Linked DNA regions of Alligator mississippiensis. The protein of the gene in region 1 purifies or fractionates together with the protein of each later gene. This does not show direct contact. Links are inferred from orthologs where the notes say so. Each region holds a gene or a part of one and is shown in the gene's direction. Other genes may lie near its edges.

Region 1 (10,101 bases):
GGCATCTCAGGGCAGATCCCAGAAGACTGAAGGAGGTCAAACCTAGTGCCTACCTTTTTAACTACCCTTTCCATAACTTTTGTTCCTCAGATTCTGGCCCAAATGTATTTAACAATTTTAAAAAGTCAGCCTACCTTTATCAATAACAGATGGTATCAAACCACTGCAGAAGACTCAGAATCTCCTTTTGGAGCTTTATAAGAATAGAGCAGACATGTCTCTCTGTGGTGATTTAGGTCTACTTGCTTCTGCTTCAGGGAAGGAGATTGAACTAGGTCCTTTTCAGACCTAAATGTCAGTGATTCTGGGAAACTTCAGTAATGGTGCCTAGTGTCAGCTGTCGTGAAGCTGGAGGATGAATTTTGGGATGGGGAGGACTCTGTGGCCAAGATGATGTTCGGCTGGGTCTGTGAGTAAAATCTGGAGCCACAGAATTACAGCACTCCTGGTTATAGACTATCAAACAATATTACAAAAAAACCCTCAAACCCTCAGCAACATAGGAACTGGAATGGGATAGCTTTCCCACATATTTTATGATATACACATCACTCACTTGATCTCTTGTTCCATATCCAGTATCAACTGAATGCTAGATTTCTCTGCTTTTCACCCTAGAATCTTCCATGAAGGACCCTCACTGGAGGTGCAAAGAGCATTTTTCTTCACTTTGCCTTATCAATGTTGGATGTCATGAAACAAGCTTCTGGTCCCTAGCTATAACCAGAACTTCTCCAGTCAGCTGAGTCCATTTCCCTGCCTTCTCCCAGGTCTAGTCTTACCAAAAGCAGCATGTGGAACATCCAGCCAGGTGGAGTTGGAACAGACAGAACTGCCTGACTGTACCACTAGCTGTGGTAGTATAAGGATCCTTTAAGTTAAAAGCAATAACTTGTTTTAGTTTTAAATTAAGGCTTTCCCCATTCTGATTATCAAGATCAGTCAAGTGAGACTGTGTGGCAGATGTGTTGGTTAACTCTTGTAAGTTGTTCTGAGATCTGTAAACGAGAATGGGGTTGACCTCAGTATCCAATGAACACTTCTAAAACTAGTTCAATTGGAAATAAGTGCATAACAAGATTGTACACTGCAATAAATGTATGACTGTACCAGAAAAAGAACAACATAGGATCTAGTCCCTTAAAAAAAGCTTTATCCTGTACCTTTAATCTAGTTCCTTATTAGAAACAAAGGTGATTGCTCCCATCCAGAATTAATCTGGTGTATTAGATTTAACAGGATAACTTAACAAAAATCAAAACCACTTCAAGTATTTTAAAATTAAGATTATTTTAAATTTATCACAAACCTAAATGTTTTAGGACTCATGTAAATTAGAGCTTTATTTTCTGTGTGGATTATATTAAAAGTCAATCCATAATTAAAAAATGCCATTTTCACAGGTAAGGGGGGAAAAGGCAAACATTCTTCACTTGTGATTTCATACAGTCATATCTATACTGACACAGAATATTGCTTATTGTAAAAACTATTATAAAAGTAGTATTTAGGAGAAGGAACAGTAGGATACCACAGGGCACACTTTTATGAGCCATTCTTAAGCATCAAATCTGTTTTCTGTTGTTAAACATGGAGAGACTGAAACATGAATGTTTGTCCTGTGAATTCCAAACAGAGGAAGATAGAAGATGACATGTACTTTGTAAATGTGTCATTAAAGCAAACATCTGCAGTGGAATATAAAAGAGGATGAAATTAATATTGCTAGGTTCTGGGTTATTCATAACAGGTATGCTAGAAGTGCTAATGACCTGATTAAAAGAGATTTAAATATACAAGTAGTAATTCTCTTTTCCTTCTGTCAGAGTTCTGGTTTTCAAACAAAAAAAAGTGAATGTGAGGCTGTCTGCTACAAAGGTCAACAAAAGGACTCTATTATTTCAAAAATATCTGTCTGTCTCACTCTCACGCACAGTTTTGTTTTGATAAGGGAGTTTCCTAGCATTTATTAAACTGTTACTGGTGCATTGTTTCTTTCAACGATCTACATCAGCATAGGTAATTGCTACCACATAGGTTTTAAATAAAAGGAATGTTGGAATCTCCATTATGGATCAGACCAATCATCCATTAAGTACAGTGTCTTGTCTTTAGCAGTGTGATCAGTACTGGTTTGTTTGTTTTTCTTAGCTAGAACAAGGAATAGGATTTGTGGCTCCACTGACATCTCACATTTGACAGTCTCTAAGTTTCTTGCCTATATGGTTCCATTTTAGGACATAAACAGACAACATGTATCAAATCTCCTGTGTTGTTTGTTTTCCCTCATCATCTTTCCTTTTTCTGTAAATCTAATTCCTAAGCACCACTGAAATAGATTTTTTTAGAGAAGGAAAAGTACAGGCACACATTAAAGATAAAGCATCTGCTTCCTCTTGCATTAATTTTGAATGCTGCAAAGAATGAACACTGCTTACTGATGTGATTCTGAAAGACATTTATGGGAGGTTACAACAATACAAGAGAAGAGGCAGGCTCTATTTGAGAATACAGGAAACCCTCGCTATTTGCGGGTTTGGCATTCGCGGTTTCAAATATTCACGAATGCCCAACCTGCATCTTAAACACACTTACAGGAACTCCTCAGGAGCTCCGCAGTTGCTGCTGCCACTGGGCTCCCGCCGATGCCAGTGCAGCCGTGCCCCCCTCCCCAGCTGCTGGGGGCATTCCATTCATGACATTCATGAACGCAGTGCCATATTCATGGATTTCGCCATTTGCGGGGATCTCCAGAACAGATCCCCTGCGAATGGCAAGGGTCGCCTGTATCTTTATCACCTACCTAACTCAACCAAGTGCATTAGTTCTAAATGAGTTCTTAAAAGGAAACAATGTTCTTTTCAGTATAGCCTCTTTAGCTCTAGTGATAAACTCCTGCAAGTGTGTGGCTTTCTATTGTTTTCTCTGCATAGTTCAGTGGAAAGGTCCTATAGGAAAGAACCATGTGAAATTAATAACTGCAACTATATGAGCTACCTACTGTTCCAAGAAACTTAGTGTGCTCAGCTGATACGTTATTTGAGAAGCCACCAGGATTCCAAGTACTTTTAGAAAGTTTCTCCGATAAAACCGGCATTGATTTTTCTTGTTTTATTGTACACCTAATGGAGATTGTCCAGGTTGCCAGATGTTTCCTTTAGATGTTTTTATCCAATCCTTTTGAATGGCTTTCTCCTTGTACTATTTAGGAAACTGAAGTAGTTTTCAATCAGCTTCTCTGTTTGATTAATTTATCCAGAAGACAAACAGTAACAATCTGTGATTGGTTAGCCCAGAGATTTTTAATCAGGGTCAGTGCTGTGTCACCCTGGGGTGCCTTGAGATTCTTTCAAGGGTGCCATATAATTAGCACTGTTAGGTGTACAAACATGATTCACAGTACAAACCCAGATATTTCAGGTAGGGATCCAAAATGTTAAAAAAACCATTTTGACCTCTCGTGGTCTGAGTTCTTTGCAATAGAATAATTGCTCTATTATTTTTCTGTAGTCCAAAAATGAGTGAAAACTAAGAGCTGGCATTTTCTGAGGGGTGCCTTGAGCCTAACAAAGTTGAGAACCATGGGGTTAGCTGATGCATAACCTCAAAAATACAACAGAACAGGTTCAAGCTTTGCTTCTACCAAACCTGTAGAAAGCAGCTCACCTTGACACAGCTAAAAATAATAAAGTCCTTTGTACAACCAAAAAACCATTCTCTCTGTGCCTTCTTCAAGGTTGTGGCATGGCATGATATCATACCAGCTTGGATGGTGATCTTACCTGATTCACAAGCTAAACAGGATGTGCCTGGGTGATGCTTAAATGGACAGTCTCCCTATATAAAAACAACCATGGCAGGAAATTGTAGCATTCTGTTGGCAGCACTTGTCCCTGAATCACCATTGAATGGGTGTGGCAAGGTGTCTGGACTATTTGTGCCTAGAGATTCTATTTTTGGAAGTGAGGTTCAGAACAGATGTCCTGACCACCTGCCATAATTTAAAATCCCAACATACTTTTTCTCAGAAGACCAAGGATGGTAATTGTAGTGAAATAGCTAGACTGTAGCTTAGCAAATTATTTTATGTTCTGGAAACTCCACCTCTCAATCTATTTATCACCCATGTGGTTGGGCTTCTCTGTTTTGGACACTTACCTGCCTGCTGCATTAGGTTCAAATTCACTCCATCAGTGTTTATGCTTTTGTGGGTATCAGTAGGTTGCAGCATTGTTTAGTTTCTTGGCCTGCCTACCACATCTCCCAGGCACAGTCTCCCTGTCTGTTCCTCCTTCCTGGAACTCAAACCCTTCAGTCTATCTACTTCAAACACCTAAGAGCAGCACTTATCCCCATAACAACCCAATAGCTTAAATGCACCCTCTCCCAATAATCAAGGTAGTCGATCTGGATTGCAAAAACATGGGTCTTTATTAGAAAAGCCATGCCCTACTGGGTGTGCTCAGAGATACTGTGACATTTTCCAAGTACATGGAGCTTCCTGGTGTCACTCCCCAAATCATCCCCACTACAATATGTGTTTCAACCATCAGGAACCTACCTGCAGGTCATTATAGCTAAAACTGAATTCTTCAAGGGTGTGATACTGGTTAGAAATTAAACTTGCACAAGATTCTGAAGTATCTTTCCTCTTTACATTGTGGCATGGGAAATAAACAGATCCAGGCAAAAACACCTAAAAATATGGCCATTTTCCTGCCTCACTTGCTTCCACACTCTGGAGCATAGTCTGAGATCAAGCTATTCAGGATTTTTGTTCTGCAGCTCCTGGCTTATTTTCTGACTGCAGAGTATTGCAGCTCTGCTTGCCTTCGATGACCTTGGCAGGTCTTGTAGTTAACCCACTCTGCTGTTATGAAAGCCTACACATTACTTCCCTTTCCTGCTCAAAGTTTCCAATGTAGCTGGCTTTCCTTTCGTTCCAAGTCCTTTTTAACCTCCCCCCTCATCTCTGTGTCCTATTTGATGAATCTCCCTTTCCCAAATCTTCTTCCTACAAACAGGTAAAAAATGTAGGTTCTCCTCCCTGTTCCAGCAAAGCTCATTAGCATTCCCACTGTTCAGTTAAAATACTGTCATTAAGTTCCCTGGTCTGCTAGGGACACAAGAGGCCTTGTTAGGAAAGGTGACTGCACAAAGACATTTCCTGATTCAGTGACTGTCATACTAGCAATTTGATACTATCAATCCAAATTCATAAACTGTAGATAAGATTCCCCAAATCATCACGGCAGGGATAAAGGAGCCTTTTGTTTGCTGCCCCATGCTGTTGTTTGCAGTTGCAGCAGTGCCTGAATTTCAATTCCTTTATGATGCGCACAATGTGTAAATCTGTTTGCCAAGCGTTTGGAGGGGAGAAGTATGGCAATAATAAGCCCCCGTCACTACACAGTCATGTTGGTTGTCAAGCTGATTTCAAGATGCAACGATTTGCTGACTTTCTTCCACAGTCGTCTGCTGCCAGGCACCTGGGTTTGTAGCTTGCCTGTGAAATACTTGTCTTTCTGATGTATTTATCTCTGTCAGGGCCAAGCATCAGGAGTGCAGAAGCTGTGCTAACCGTTGAACCATGGGAAGACCTGCAGGATTTGCTACTCCTTTTTTGAGGCGGATCTTCGCAGGGAAGCCTCGGAAGACACCGGCTGCCTGGCACAGCACAGCTGGGCCCCTCTCGAGCCCTGGGACGTCCAGCTCCCTCCTGCAAGGCGCTGGTTGTCCGGCCTCTGGGGCTGTCAACCTGCTCTCTGCTCTGCGCTCCAGTGAGAGCTGCACAGGAACCGGCCACGCAGCTGTTGCTCATTTTCAAGCACTGACTGTCTCTCTGTAGCTGCACGGCCGGCTCGACGCGGCCACCAGCACTTGGCCCAGAGCGCTGGGCCGCCTTTCCCGCGACGCGTACCGTGCGGCCACGCCCCGAGGGCGGCCAGCGGCCCGGCGGCGCCCCCTGGCGGGAGCCGAGGCCCCAACAGGGCGGGGAGGGCTGCGCTTCCGCGGCGCCTGCGCGGCCGGGCCGGGCCGGGCCGGGCGATGGCGGCCGGAGGCAGCGACGCGCGGGCGGCCGACGTGGAGGAGGACGCGTCGCAGCTCGTCTTCCCCAAAGGTGCGCGGCCGCCACCCCCCGCGGGAAGGAGCCGGGAGCAAGAAGGGACGGCGGGCTCTTTCCCGCCGCGACCTGCTCTGCTCTGGCCCCTCCCTCCTCGCGCACGTGGGGCCGCGGACAGGCCCCCCGAGGTGCCCGGGCTGTGAGCGAGGGTGGCCTCGCCGGGCTCCCCGGGGCTCGCCGCACCTGGCCGCGGGGGAGCAGTGGCCATTCATACACCCGCCCTCCCCCTGACAGCTCAGGACAAGCGTCGGGGCTTCTTAACCTGGCAGGGGAAATACCATGTATGTGTGGCAACGCAGGCAGTTGTCCTGACCCGCTGCGCAGGAGAGCTGCTCTTCTGGCGTGGTTCAGGGCCCGCCAAGGTGCAGCGGGTTTAAGCCCACTTTATGGGCATGGGAGTCTCCTCCGGCACTTGCTCCGAGGGCCTGACGGCTGAGGGCAAGCAAAACTCAGGGGCATCTGAACCCCAAACCTCTAGGCTTGGGCCTGCAAGTAGGATGCCTGCCAAAGGTTTTGGAAACATCTGAAGCCCCAGGTGAGGGTGCAGGATGTTTGCCGATAGTAGGGCCACTTATGATTCTGGACTCTTGGATTGGGATTTAGTTTTGGCTAATTTGGCCTCCGATATAAATGTATTAAAACCGCCTTCCCTGCTCCCTGCCCATTGCCATATCTGCATGCTCCTCCCCAGCACACAGCCAGATGGGGCTGGGCCGGGCCAGGCCAGCCTGCTTTGTTTCCCTCTGGCAGGGCCCCCTCCCCTGTGGGACTGGGTTAGATCTGCTCCCGTGGGGTGGGGGGAGCTGAAGCAGGGCCAGGAGGCCCCCAACACAAATACAAAAGCAAGGATATAGACATGGGCTTCATTATCAGTGCTGATCCCTCTCTCATGCTGAGATTTTTTGCTCTTTCACCTAGAGTTTGAAACTGCCGAGACTCTTCTCAATTCAGAAGTACACATGCTGCTTGAGCATCGCAAGCAGCAGAATGAGAGTGCAGAGGATGAGCAGGAGCTCTCAGAAGTCTTCATGAAAACGTTGAACTACACGGCTCGTTTCAGCCGCTTCAAAAACCGAGAGACTATTGCCAGTGTCCGCAGGTGAGTAGGAGAGACCAGGAAAGATTTGTGTCAGGGAATTTATTATGTATGGTATTGGTACTGCGCAGTTAAAATGCCTTAGCTATGTTGCCAGAAGAGGGGTGCACTTAGATCTCAGCCAGGCTCTATGTTCTTTCTTGAGTGGGTTATGATAGATGCCTTCAAAATAAACATTTATGAGTGACATCAGATCAGTCTTTTTGGAGCCTGGGATGATTAGTAGTAGTGGTAGTTGAAGTGGGGTTGTACTTATGCAAATGCACTCTTTTTTTTTAATTTGCCCCTCCTTCTTCCCTCCTTTTTTACTGCTTCCACTGGTACATTTTCCTTTCCTGTACTTTTTTATTCTGTTGTAGCTATATTCTTACCATCTTATTTTCCCTATCTGCAGTTTATTGCTCCAGAAGAAGCTCCATAAATTTGAATTGGCGTGCTTAGCTAATCTTTGTCCTGAGACAGCTGAGGAGGCCAAGGCTCTGATTCCCAGGTGAGAATTTGTATTTAGCAGGGCTGCTGTGTGAACTGTGGGGCTCTAAGATACAGGAAGAAAGGACAAGCTGGGGTCACCTGTGGGTTTTTCCTTTGCACTGAAAACTTCACAGACACACTAGGCTGGCCTATGAGTGCAGGTCCATATAGGACTTCAGTCAGATGTCTTGTGGGTGAAGGCCATTACAAAATTACTATCTTGAAAGAGGTCAAAGGAGGGATGGTGTCTGGTTTGCATGACAGCCACAATATGAGGCTCAGAACAGTGTCTGCATTACACTGTTGGAGGAGTTGCTAGTTGGTACAAAACAATATGTTAAGAGGAATTCTGGGTCTTTGAAAACAAATGTGTCTAAAGCCATTAATTTACTGTCATTGCTCTTATCTTGCAGCCTAGAGGGCCGGTTTGAGGATGAGGAGTTACAGCAGATTCTTGATGATATTCAGACCAAACGAAGCTTCCAATATTAGGGTTAACACCCAGCCCCTCTTATGAACAGAGAAAAACTCAAGTGCTTTTTGCACTCCAGACCAAATCAGCTGCTCCCAGACCTGAGCTAAGGAAGTGCCAGGAGCAGAGTACTCCAGCCTGGTGTCCACCACAGATGCATTCAAATGGGAGGCCAGTTAGTCCATAAAAGAGACTCTTTTATGGTGAGAGCCATTGGATCCTAGAAAGTCTTGTCTGAGTGGTGTCAGTGCTTTGCTTTTCCTAACAGCCTGTCCCTGACTTGTGAATCTTTACAGTGTTTTTGGTTTCTAGAATAAGTGCAGCTGTACAATTTTTTCCTTGTGTACACCTGTTCCCCAAGATGGAGAAATTATTCCTACTGGTTGTTGGCAATCATAATGATGCATGGAATCAGGACTGATGAGACTTCGTGTGGTGGTTTTTATGTATATGTTTGATCAAGATAGTGGGATTTTCCCCCTTTAAGAATACTTTTGTATAGCTTTTTAGTTTTAATTAAAAGGCGCTATTTGTATGTATGATCCTGTGGTTTGTAAACAGTATCTGATTCAGTCCAATTTTATTTATGAAAATCCTGTTGATTTAAATATAATGATGTAGAATGAGAGAAAAATCTCGGGGGAGAGAGAACTGTGAGCAAAGAGGAAGAGATGTTGCATGATTTTTTTTTCTTTTGAACTTTTTTTATTTTTTTGTACAGGAGCATATGAGTTGCTCACCATTATTTGAGGGAGGGGGGGAGGAAGAGAAATGTGCTACTCCTATTAATTTGTAAGCTTGGTTTGGAAAAAATTTATTAATATATCAGGCACAAGAGTGAAAACCTCAGTGAAACTTCTTGGCTCAGCTGGGGTGACATTACTTGTCCCTTTCAATAAGATGTTTTCTGTTTTTTTTTGTTTTTTTTTTAATTGCAGACAGGTTTGTTTTTTGTAGCTAGAATAATCTTAGGGGTCAGAACAATACCAGGAAAAGTAACAATAAAATAGCTAGTGCCCTGAGTATCTTATAAGCTACACCCAGCTCCTTTCAATTTTGTTTGGTTCCCAGCTGTAACTGGCAGGTGTTGTTTGCCTCACAGGCCCAGTGCTTCAGAGACAGTTAAAACATATCCCTTAAAAAATCCTGACATTCTTTTAATGAGAACTTTCTCTCCAGGACCTTTTCCCTCTTTACTTGTTATAATCTTAATGTTGGTGGTTTGGAAGCAAACATTAATGAACTTACCAAAATCTCCACCCCCACAAAAAAAAAAAAAGTCTATAATTAGGGGAGATTGTTATTTCTTGCTATTTAAAAACAAACCAGGTGACTTTAGGTTAGGGAATAAGTCTTACAGCTTCAGGGCCTGAAACTGATCCCTGGAGACCAACATCATGCTCCACTAATTGAGGCTGCCCCCCCCAACAGTGACTGAATGATTGCCCATGTTTTTAAAAAAAACAAACCAGCAGCCCCCGCAGCAGATCCGTTTGGGTCCCGGAGGTTGTAAAACCAAAGCGGCTGATGCTGGCAGGGAGATGGTGGGGCGCTGCTCAGCAGCCGGGGCAGTGACAGGCCGGGGGGTCTCGCTGCTCCGTGACTGCCCCCCCTCGCAAAAGGGGGTCGAGGCTGGAGCCACGAACAGCTGCAGTGAGGCGGGCGGGTAGGAAACTAGCAGAGGAAGCCAAGGTATCCGTGTGGCACCGGGGGGGTGCCCCAGACTGCAGCCGGCGGGAGCTCAGCGCCGCCTCGCGCATGCCCCTCGGTGAGGGCTGGTGGAGGCAATAAGTGGGCTTTTGCGCACGCTCATTGCCGTCCCCCCGTGGGCTGTGCGATAGGACTACGCATGCGCTCCGCCCCCGTCGCTGAGCCTCACGTTCAGGCTTCCTCAGTTCCTGACTGCGCCAGCGCGTTTCACGCGCGGCCGCATCGCCG
Region 2 (10,775 bases), on another chromosome or scaffold:
ATCTAGCCTAAATCTGCTCTCTGTCAGTTCATAACCATTGTTCCTTGTTACCCCAAGAGGCGCCCTAGTGAACAGAGCATCTCCGATCCCTTGCTGCGCCCCCTAATGAATTTGTAGGCGACCACAAGATCACCTCTCAGCCATCTCTTGCAGAGGCTGAAGAGGTCCAGGTCCCTCAACCTCTCCTCATAGGGTTTGTCCTGTAAGCCCCTAACCATATGAGTGGCCCTCCTTTGGACCCTCTTGAGTCTATCAACATCCTTCTTGAAGTACAGCACCCAAAACGACGCAGTACTCCAACTGTGGTATGACCAATGCCACAAAGAAGGGAAATATTACCTCCTTCGATCTATTTGTCATGCATCTGCTGACGCATGATAAAGTGTGGTTAGCTTTGCTGATGATTTCATCACACTGATGACTCATATTCATCTTGGAGTCCACTATGACTCTGAGATCCCTTTCCGCTTCTGTGTGGCTGAGAGGGTCACTTCCCAGCCAGTAGGTGTGCTGGATATTTTTGCACCCTAGGTGCAGCACTCTGCACTTGTCCTTGTACTGCATCCTGTTGTGTACTGCCTAATTTTCTAACTTGTACAGGTCTGCCTGCAATCGTTCCCTATGCCCCAGAGTGTGTACTTCACCCCACAATTTAGTATTGGCCGCAAACTTGGACAGAGTACACTTTTACACCCACATCCAATTCACTGATGAAGATATTGAAGAGCACAGGTCCAAGGATTGAACCCTGCGGGACCCCACTACCCGCATCCTTCCAGGTTGATACCGACCCATCTACTACTACTCTCTGGGTGTGACCGCTAAGCCAATTTGCCACCCACCGGACCGTGTAAACATCTATGTCACAGACTCTTAATTTATTTATGAGAATGGGATAAGATACCAAGACAATAATTTTCTCTTTCAACACCATCATGATGCAAATATTACTGGGATACAAAATGACTAGTTATTTAGGTTTAAATAAGAGTAAAGGTTTATTGACAATCAACTAATTTTACTACAATTTAGTAGTAAACACCCAAAAGCATTTATAGTATATATAAATAGTGCATACAGTCCAGCACAGGCATTAAACAATCACATGGCAAATTAATTCAGTTGGTCATTAAATTAAAGGAAAGTCTTTAAAAAATCTATTTAATCTTTTATGCCAGGGGTTAGCAACCTTTTAGGTACAGCAGGCCAAATTAGCTCAGCTAACTCTGGAGGTGAACTGCCCCTCCCCTGCCCAGCACCCCTCTTCCAATCCAGTCACTGTGTGACCCATTGCTGTGCTCCCTGCCCAGGAACAATGGTCCCTTCTTCAGAATTGGTGTTGAGGTCCTGGTTAACTACATAACAACAATTCTGTATTTTCCCCAGACAAGTGCTATATTTTTAACATGAGAGAACATAAAAATACCATACTGGTTTTGACCACAGGTCCATCTAGCCCAGAATCCTACATCTCACCAAGGTCCAGTACAAGGGCAGTCCCTGCCTGCCCACTAGGGCTGTGCAAAATTTTGCCACCAGTTTTGTTTCAACGCTGTTTCAACTCATTTCAAGGTCAAAACAGCAAAATCGAAATGGAACAGATATGGTCGAAACAGCCTCGAAACAAAATGAGGCAAGTCGAAACGTTTCGCCCATACGCCATAATGGGGAAGGTTGAAACAGCTTATAACTTTGTCATTTCTGGCCTGATTTGGATGAAACTTGCAGGAATGGTAGCCCCTGCTGAGGCCACAAAGCCTGCTAAATTTTAAGGAGATAGATGCAGGGGCTTTGGGGAAACTGCCCCCCAAAATCTTGAAAGCAAAACTCATGTCATGTGTATGTGTTAAACCACAACTGTTCACCAGGGCACCATTGGGTAAAACTAGGAGTAATGATCACAAACTCCTGGAAGATCATTTCAGGCTCAACCTTAGGAAAAACTACTTCACAACTAGGCTGTCCAGACTGTGACCATTATTCCTAGTTTTCCCCAAGGGAGCCCTAGATGTACGCTTCTGATGTAGTGGTAAGCTGCTACCAAGTCCCCTTTCAGCCTTCTCTTTTTCAGACTGAAGAGTCCCAGATCCCTCAGCCTTTCCTCATACGGGTTGCTGTGCAAGTCTCTGATCATATGGGTAGCCCTTCTCTGGACTCTCTCAAGTTTTACCACGTCCTTGTTAAAAGTGCGGAGCCCAGAACTGGATGCAGTGCTCCAGCTGCGGGCTCACCAATACCGAGTAGAGCCGAGTAGAGCAGGAGAATCATTTCTTTGCAATGATTTTGCTGGTTTTGCTGGAGATGCATCAATTGATGCATGCTAGAGTATTGTTGGCCCTGCTGGCTACAGCATCGCACCGCCGGCTTATGTTCATACTATGGTCAATTATTACCCCCAGGTGTGTGGCGGCAAGTGATCGGGGATCTTCAGTCCTGCTGGTTGATGAGAGGCAGCAGTTGCACAAGCACCCATGTCACGAGATTTGCCTGTCAGCAGCTAGGGGTGCAGGGCCCCAGAACCCCCCTGCACCGATCTCCTTGACAGCTGGCAGGCTTTGTGGCCACAGCAGGGCCTGGCAGCCCAGCCTGCAGTAGTTTCTCCCCTCCCTGTGCCCCAGGACGGACAGAGTTGCACAGGCACCCATGACATGAGTTTTGCCAGTCAGCAGCTAGAGGTGCAGGGCCCCAGAACCCCTGCACCTATCTCCTTGAAAGCTGGCAGGCTTTGTGGCCTCAGCAGGGGCTATCAGCCTGCAGCTTTCACCCTGCTGCGCCTTAACACACACAGTGTCACCCATGTCACGAGTTTTGCTTGTCTGCAGCTTGTAGTACAGTTTCCCCCAAACCCCTGCACCTATCTCCTTGAAACTTGACAGGCTTTGTGGTCTCAGCAGGGGCTAGCATGCCTGCAGTTTTGACCCCACTGTGGCTTAACACATACACATGACTTGAGTTTTGCTTTCAAGATTTTGGGGTGCAGTTTCCCCAAACACCCTGCATCTATCTCCTTGAAGCTTAGTAGGCTTTGTGGCCTCAACAGAGGCTACTATTCCTGCATGTTTTATCCAAATCAGGCCAGAAATGACAAAGTTATAGGCTGTTTTGACCTTCCTCATTATATTCTATGGGCTAAACGTCAAAACAGTTTTGCCTTTTCAACCCTGTTTTGACAGAATGGAACGGAATGGAACAGCTGTTTCAAATCGAAACAAAATTTGAAACGGAACGCTGTTCTTTCGAAACATTGAAATGCTGGTCAAAACGGAACGTCGCTGTTTTGCACAGCCCTACTGCCCATTCCCCAAACCCTCTGGAGCTTGTCTTGGGGCTCCTGCCTTGACAGGTCCCACGACATTCCCTAGCACACCATCCTAGCAGGCTGGGGAATACAAAACTAGTCTACTTCTGAACAGCCCACTGCTGCCAGCTCTAGATTCTTGTGCTTCACATTACACACTCACTCTGATGCCCTCAAAGCCTGCCTAGACACCAATGGGCAGGGCACCTTCAGGAAGGGTGAGAGTCCCCAGTGGAACAACCCATATTCTACCCATATTCCCACAAGTCATTGGGGACATTGGTTGACAGGTCCTGCATGGAACTGTCTCCATGGGCAGGTATCTGACTTGCTTCACTGATTCCCCTGACACCTGCCCTTCATGTCAACAGAGAGAGATCTTGGTGCCAGGGCTAGATTAACACATAGGCAAACTAGGTACATGCCTACGGCCCTAAGTTGCAAGGAAGGCCCTGGTGTTTCCCTCTATGGCGGTGGTGCGAATGGCCCCGTCTGCCTCCCTTCCCTTCCCCTCCCTTCTGCTGGCCTTGCCTCGGTGGTGGCTGCTTCCCAGTGGCGGCTCTGACTCGGTGCTTGGCAGCACCGAGTTGGGGACGGGGGTCTCAACTCGCCTGGGGCCCAGAAGTTTGTTTGTCTATGGCCCACTAAAGGGCTAATCCAGCCCTGCTTGATGCATGCCTTCTTTGTGTGTGCCAAACTGCAGCCTCTCCACCACCTCCTCAGGAACCTCCTTCTAAGGTTCTGGCTGCACTTCTCCCTACACCTTTTATTTTATGTACTCCCTAACCATGGCCCTGCCAAGTCCTGGGATCTCTTAGTCAGCCTCCTCCTGGCTCTGGCCAAACTTGCCATGTACCAGAACAGAAATGAGGCCCTTGCTTGGGGGAATCCTGAGTGATTCCAGAGCGCCCCAAGGGATGACAAGATCAAATGGTCACAAACTCCTCTGTGACCGTTTCAGGCTAGACATAAGGAAGAACTTCTTTACTGTCCAAGCCCCCAAGGTTTGGAATAGACTGCCACCAGAGGTGGTTCAAGCACCTACTTTGAATGTCTTCAAGACACTTTTGGATGTTTATCTTGCTGGGATCCTATGATCCCTGCTGACTTCCTGCCCCGGGGCAGGGGGCTGGATTAGATGATCCTCCAGGGTCCCTTCCAGCCCGAACATCTATGAAATCTATGAAATCTATGATTGTGGGACTGTTTTTCTGTTACTCCTTTGTGCATGTCTCTGGGCAGTTTCACTGGGGGGTGTCCACAGACTCCATGAACACAGATGAGGGGCAGTGGGTGCTGTCTGGTGTTTTCTGCTTGGAGTTTTCCCTTGAAACTCTTATTATAAGAGTCCTGTCTGTTGGTTTTTTCATTTATTGTTCCCTGAAAACAGCTGTTACGCTCTTAGCGGCCTCCCTAACTGAAGGAGACTTACAATTTTCTTGTTGGGCCTAGGACCACTGCCCTTTGTGTAAGAAAAAAGCCTGCATCTCATAGTAATGGACAGCAGATGATAAGGGGAAGTTTATGTTAAAAGTATGTAAGGTCATATAGAGCTATGAAAGTGCTGTCAGCTCTAGATACAAAAAAATCTATAATCTGACTGTGTTCCTGCATGACTCTGTCATTGGACAAATAATTTCTTCACAGGAAAAAAGAAATTGCTCATCGAACTGCAACTAGTCAGTGTACCGACATCAGAACTGACCCTTCGCACTTGTTTGTTGCCTCTTATACACTTTCTAAATATGCTTGTGAGTGACTCCCTGTACTCGGAGCGTGTCTACAATCAGGCTTCTGACTACAGAGTAGTGTGGACTTGTCCTAGCTAGTTAGGTTGGGTACCGGTGAGTCTAAGGGTATGTTTACACTGCAGCAATTTGTTTTGGCCAGGACACCTCCATGCACACATTTCCCACCTACTCCCACTGACATGCTCCAAATTCAGAAATGCTTTGGCGAGGCTGCCCCTCTGTGGCTGTTTTTAAGAGCTTGGTCTTTGGTGTACTGGGAACAACTTCACCCTCCTATCCTGGATTTGGAGCAGGATTGAATATAGGCAGGTCACACTCTGGGGGCCATGCTGGAAGTAAGCTCTCGGCATGGCAGCACGATGCTTTGTGTGGGTTAGTTCCCACCGTCTTTACTCAGTGTCTCTGGCAGGATTTGGAGCACAGGCTGAGTTCTGCGCAGCCTCTGCCTGATCACTACCAGCCCCTGAGAACTACATCTGTGGTACTACTTGAGGCCACTAGCGTCTTGCTTCAGCTTTGGTTTTTGTCTGTGGAAAAATAACAGAGCTCTTCTTCTGTGCCAAAGAAAAAAGCACTGCAGGCTGGCATGATTCAGACACTACAGGCTTCTATCTGAAATCTCTGGGCTAATCACATGTAGGTGTTTGCACATCTAACCAGGCTGATACTGGGGCACCTTGGATGAGCATCATAGGGCCCCCATGTTCTGCCTCCACAGCTGCAACTGGAGCGTGTAGGAATCTCCTCAGAAAGGGGTGGATCCTGGGGGAGTACTGGCATACTTGCACCCTCCTTGGAGTCCTGTCCATCTAATGTTTAAAACCAACTGCCCGGCAGTGGCAGCAGCATTTCTAGTCAGGCAGTGCTGAGGCAGTCAACTGACTTCACAGCTCTTTATAATCGACCCCACCCCTTCTAAACTCTTCATTCCCACAGCACTAAGGACCCGCTCTTCTTTTTTAATGGTCTTGCTGTTCCACCAGGTGAGCCAGCCTCTGTTTGGCCAGCCCTCGGCTGCTCCTGGTAACTCGTTTCACAGCCCTGCAGCTGTTTTTAACTCATTTCAATGAAGCTGCCAGGTTAACCCTTTGGTGGGCCCTAGGCAAACTCCTGAGCTGAAGATGAGATGTTTATATTACTTTTTTCACTCAATAATTATATTGTGTAACATAAGCACAGCTGGACCCCTTCTTCACCCAGGAACCTAGGCACGCGCCTAGTTTGCTTCTGCGTTAATCTCTGGACGCTGCCTTAGGTTTTGCTCGCACCTCAAGGCGCACAAGCCCCGCCCCCGGGTCTCCCCGGGACCCCAGTGACGTGACGGCACTGAAGGGCGGGGCCAGGCGGGGTCTCCCACACCCGCCCCAGGGGCCGCACGGCGGGGATGCTGAGGCCCCACCCCCCGGCGTGCAGAGCAGTGCCGGAAGCGGAAGGTGCCGGGGCGGAAGTGGCTGTGCGCGGTGCATGGCGGGCCGGCGGCGGGCGTTGCGGAGTCGGGGCTGAATGAAACGGCGGCGGGCGCGGGCCGCGGAGCGCTGGGAGCCGCCGGGGCAGGGGCAGGGGGCGGCGCCGCCATGGCCTTCTGCAAGATCCCGCCGCGCTGGCTGCGCTGCCCCCGGCGGGGGCAGCCGGTGGCAGGTGAGCGGGGCGTGCCGGCCCGGCCCGGCCCGGCCCGGCCCGGGGGCTGCGGGGTCCGGTGGCGTGTCCCGCCTCTGCCGCGGGGGCGAAGGGAGACGAGCTGCCCAGTGTGGGGCACTCCGCCCTGCCGGGTGCCCCCGGCCGCAGGCCCTCGGGCTTGGCAGTCGGGTACCTCTGGGGTCAGCACCACCTCCTTCCCCGCTCTGCCCTAGGCACGTGCCCCTTGGCCTCCCCTCCCTTCCCTTCCTTGGGCCTCCTGGGGCCTCTTTCTCAACCCCCTGCTTCTCAGCATCCCTCACACTTGTGCATACGGCTCGGCACCTGGTCTCCACAGGCCAGGTGGACCTGGTGGCTAGGTGCTGTCCCTGTGTCTCTATGATCACTGGCTGTTTCTGGCGTGAGGGCAGAAATCCTCCCCCCTGGTTTTCAGTCTCCAGCAGTGACCTGGGTCATGTGTGACAAGTTCACATTCTGCACCGGGAGCAAATGTGTGTCAGGCCAGGCAGAGCTGGGAAGCATCCCTGCCAGCAGCCTGAAGGAGTGGATTTGGTACTCCGGGTACATCTTGTGTTACATTATGATACAGTGATATAATTAAGCATGCATTAAATAACAATGCTATCATCTAGTATATCTATTTTTGTTTTTGAAGTGAGGTGCTGTTAAATTCTGACAAGTTACATAGGGGCCCCATGAGTTTATAAAGGTTGAGAACTGCTGCTTTAGAGTGAACACCAGCGCAAATATAGGCATGTCGCATCTTACACGGGGGGTTACATTCTGAAGGCAGCATGTAAAGCGAAAATCGTGTATAGTGAAATCACATATTACCATGCCAGTGGTGACTGCCTCTGCTTCCAAAACCTCCCGCCGTCACGGAGCTGTGCTTAGAGCTGTGCGGCCGGCGGCAGCGGTGCAGCGCGGGGTGGTGGTGGGGATGGCTGTGCGCTGCCCGGCCACCGCCACGCCCGGCAGCTGGCCACACAGCTCTGGGTGCGGCTCCATGGTGGCGGTGGGAGGTTTCGGAGGCAGAGGCAGTCACCGCTGGCAGCGTGGTAGTGGCCAGGCCTCCAGGTAAGCGGCAATGCCGTGTGCAGACTCAAGCCCTGCCCCACCTCCCCACCTGCATATAGTTGAATTCACGCAAGTTAAATGCGCGTATGATGCAACATGCCTGTATATTTGTTTAGTTTTTCCACACTGTACTCTGACTGCTTTCTTTAGATCCTTGTGGCTCAAGAGACCTACCAATCTCTTCTGCCAGATTTCTTTTTGGCATCAGAAACCTCTCAAAATTTGTCACTTAGTTTTGTTGGTTTACTTACCCTCTGATTCTTCGTTTGTACAAAATGTGTGTGCCTCATAGATGCTTTTATTTTGAGGTACCCAGGCCACTTCTAAGGATGTTAGAAGTACACCGATACATTGGTCTGATGTGGGATCAGCACTGACGTAAAGAAAATTTTCTGTATCGGAAATCGGCCCAATGTGGCTGATAACTTGTCCAGTAAATGCCTGTGCATGCACACAGCTACAGCTCAGCACGTAGGCAGTGAGCAGCAGAGCCACCAGCATGAAGAGCTGCATGCAGCTGGTAAGTCTGGTGTGGTGGAAAGGGAAGGAACATGGAGGCGCAGATCAAGGCCCCCATGGTGAGGGAGTCCCTTGCATTGGCCCCCGTGGGGTCGGGGCAGGGGCTGCCTGGCTGGGGTGGGTATGGGGCGCAGGAAGGAGAGTGAAGTGTGCAGCTCACGTTGCTGTTTGTGGCTTGTCCAGTGCTCGTCTGGTAGCTCCCACCTCTGCTGCCGCTCGTTCGGGAGGGCACAGGGAGGCAGGACGTGTGCCCCTGATCTGCATGGGGCAGGGCGGGCTGGGGCCAGGCTTTTCCCAGCTGGGCAGATCCGAGGGCACATCCCCCCCCAATGCCCTCCCGGATGAGTAGTGGGAACAGTGGCCGGAGCTGCCAGATGAGCCGTGCGCAGTGGCAGGAGCCGCCCCCCCCAACGAGCTGTGCCTCCATCCTATGCCGACCCCAGCCCACAGCTAGAGCCTTCCCTGTGCCGTGCAGATCTGGGTGGCACACACCCCACCCCTGCGGATGAGCCACTTGTGGCTCTCTCTCATGCCTGTCCCTGCCCCGGCTGGTCAGCATGTGCACCAGCTCCATTCCCTCCCTCACCACAGGGGCCTTGATATGCCATCCCCCCACTCCCCACACACACACCCCTTCCACCACACCAGACTTATCAGCTTCAAGCTGAAGAGCTGTGTATCGAAAATTGGATTGGTATCATAGGATTCGTAGATGTTGGGGTCGGAAGGAACCTCAGTAGGTCATCGAGTCTGACCCCCTGCCCTGGGCAGGAAAGAACTTTGGGGTCTGCTAGGAGCTTGTCCAGCCTCCTCTTGAAGACCCCCAAGGTAGGGGACAGTATCACCTCCCTTGGAAACCCATTCCAGATTCTGGCAACCCTTACTGTGAAGAATTTCTTTCTAATGTCCAACCTAAATCTGCTGTCTGTCAATTTTGGCCATTGTTCCTAGTTACTCTAGAGGGTGCCCTAGTAAATAGAGCATCTCCTATTCCGTGCTGCCCTCCCCTGATGAATTTATAGGCAGCCACAAGATCACCTCTCAGCCTTCTCTTGCAAAGGCTGAAGAGATCTAGGTCCCTCAGTCTCTCGTTGTAGGTCCTTGCCTGCAGGCCTCTGACCATATGAGTGGCCCTCCTCTAAGCCCTCTCAAGGTTCTCCACATCCCTCTTGAAGTGCATCTGCTAATGCATGAGAAAGTGTGGTTAGCCTTGTTGATCACTTTGTCACATTGATGACTTAGGTTCATCTTGGAGTCAACCATGACGCCAAGATCCCTTTCTGCTGCTGTGCTGCTGGGAAGGTCATCCCTCAGCCTGTAAGTGTGTTGGTAGTTCTTTTTGCCCAGGTGCAGCACTTTGCGCTTGTCTTTGTTGAACTGCATCCTATTTTGTTCTGCTCTTTTTTCCAGCCTGTCCAGATCCGCCTCGATCTGTTTCCTACCCTCTGGTGTGTTAACTTTGCCCCATAATTTGATATCATCTGCAGACTCGGACAGGGTGCTCTCCATGCCCTCATCCAAGTCACTGATGAAGACATTGAATAGCACCAGTCCGAGGACCAAGCCTTGCGGGACTCCACGGCCCACATCTTTCCAGGTCGATATCGACCCGTCCACCACCACTCTCTGCATGCAACCCCTAAGCCAATTTGCCACCCTCCTGGTCGTGTAATCATCTACTTCACAGCCTGTCAGTTTGTTTATGAGAACAGAATGAGATACCATATCAAAGGCCTTCTTAAAGTCTAGTTAAATGACATCTACCTCAGCATCTGCATCTAAGCATTTTGTGACCTGGTCATAAAAAGAAACAAGATTAGTCAGGCAGAATGAACTCATACTGATTTCCTTTCAGCATTATTTCCTCTGCTGGGCTTCCACAAATGTGATCCTTAATGATTTTTTCCAGAGTTTTCCCAAGGATTTAGATGAGACTAATTGGCCTATAGTTTCCTGGTCCCTTCCTCCTCCCCTTCTTGAAAATAGGGACCACATAGGCTCTTTTCCAGTCCTCTGGGACCTGACCAGAGCACCATGAATGCTTGAACAGACGTGCCAGCGGCTCTGCCATGACATTGGCCAATTTCTTCAGCACCCTTGGATGAAGTTCATCCAGACCTGCTGATTTGAACACATCCAGCCCCTCCAAGTGCCCTTTCACTAAGTCTGCGCTAACAGTTGGTGGGCTGTTGTCCCTCCTGTGTCTGTCTGATCCAAATGTGAGATGAGATGTGTTTTTGTCCGTGTCTAGGAATACAGATGCAAAGAACTCATTGAAGAGCTTAGCTTTGTCCCCCCTCTCTGTCACCAGTTGCCCTAGTTTGTCCTGTAGGGGTCTTATGCTACCCTATGCTTTTCCTTTACTCCCTGTATACCTGAAGAAGGACTTTTTTGTTGTTCTTAATTTTTGTCGCCAGCCTAAGTTCTAATCCTGCTTTGGCCTTCCTAACTGATTTCCCTGCAAGTGCGAGCCAGGGAGGTATCCTCCTTCTTGG

What was found.
Region 2: the proteins of POLR2D (region 1) and RNGTT purify together in Homo sapiens (affinity purification with mass spectrometry; 3 studies listed by BioGRID and IntAct, with this or other methods). This does not show direct contact. The link is inferred for Alligator mississippiensis from reciprocal best matches to the Homo sapiens genes POLR2D and RNGTT.

Annotation. Positions count from the first base shown.
Region 1 is NC_081830.1:39,461,666-39,471,766, reverse strand, and holds POLR2D (DNA-directed RNA polymerase II subunit RPB4), read left to right. Parts: upstream 1-6,011; 5' UTR 6,012-6,048; coding exon 6,049-6,121; intron 6,122-7,042; coding exon 7,043-7,223; intron 7,224-7,614; coding exon 7,615-7,710; intron 7,711-8,104; coding exon 8,105-8,183; 3' UTR 8,184-8,698; downstream 8,699-10,101. UniProt on the Homo sapiens protein: Core component of RNA polymerase II (Pol II), a DNA-dependent RNA polymerase which synthesizes mRNA precursors and many functional non-coding RNAs using the four ribonucleoside triphosphates as substrates.
Region 2 is NC_081824.1:76,588,581-76,599,355, reverse strand, and holds the start of RNGTT (mRNA-capping enzyme), read left to right. Parts: upstream 1-6,536; 5' UTR 6,537-6,552; coding exon of another isoform or gene 6,553-6,623; coding exon 6,624-6,687; intron 6,688-10,775.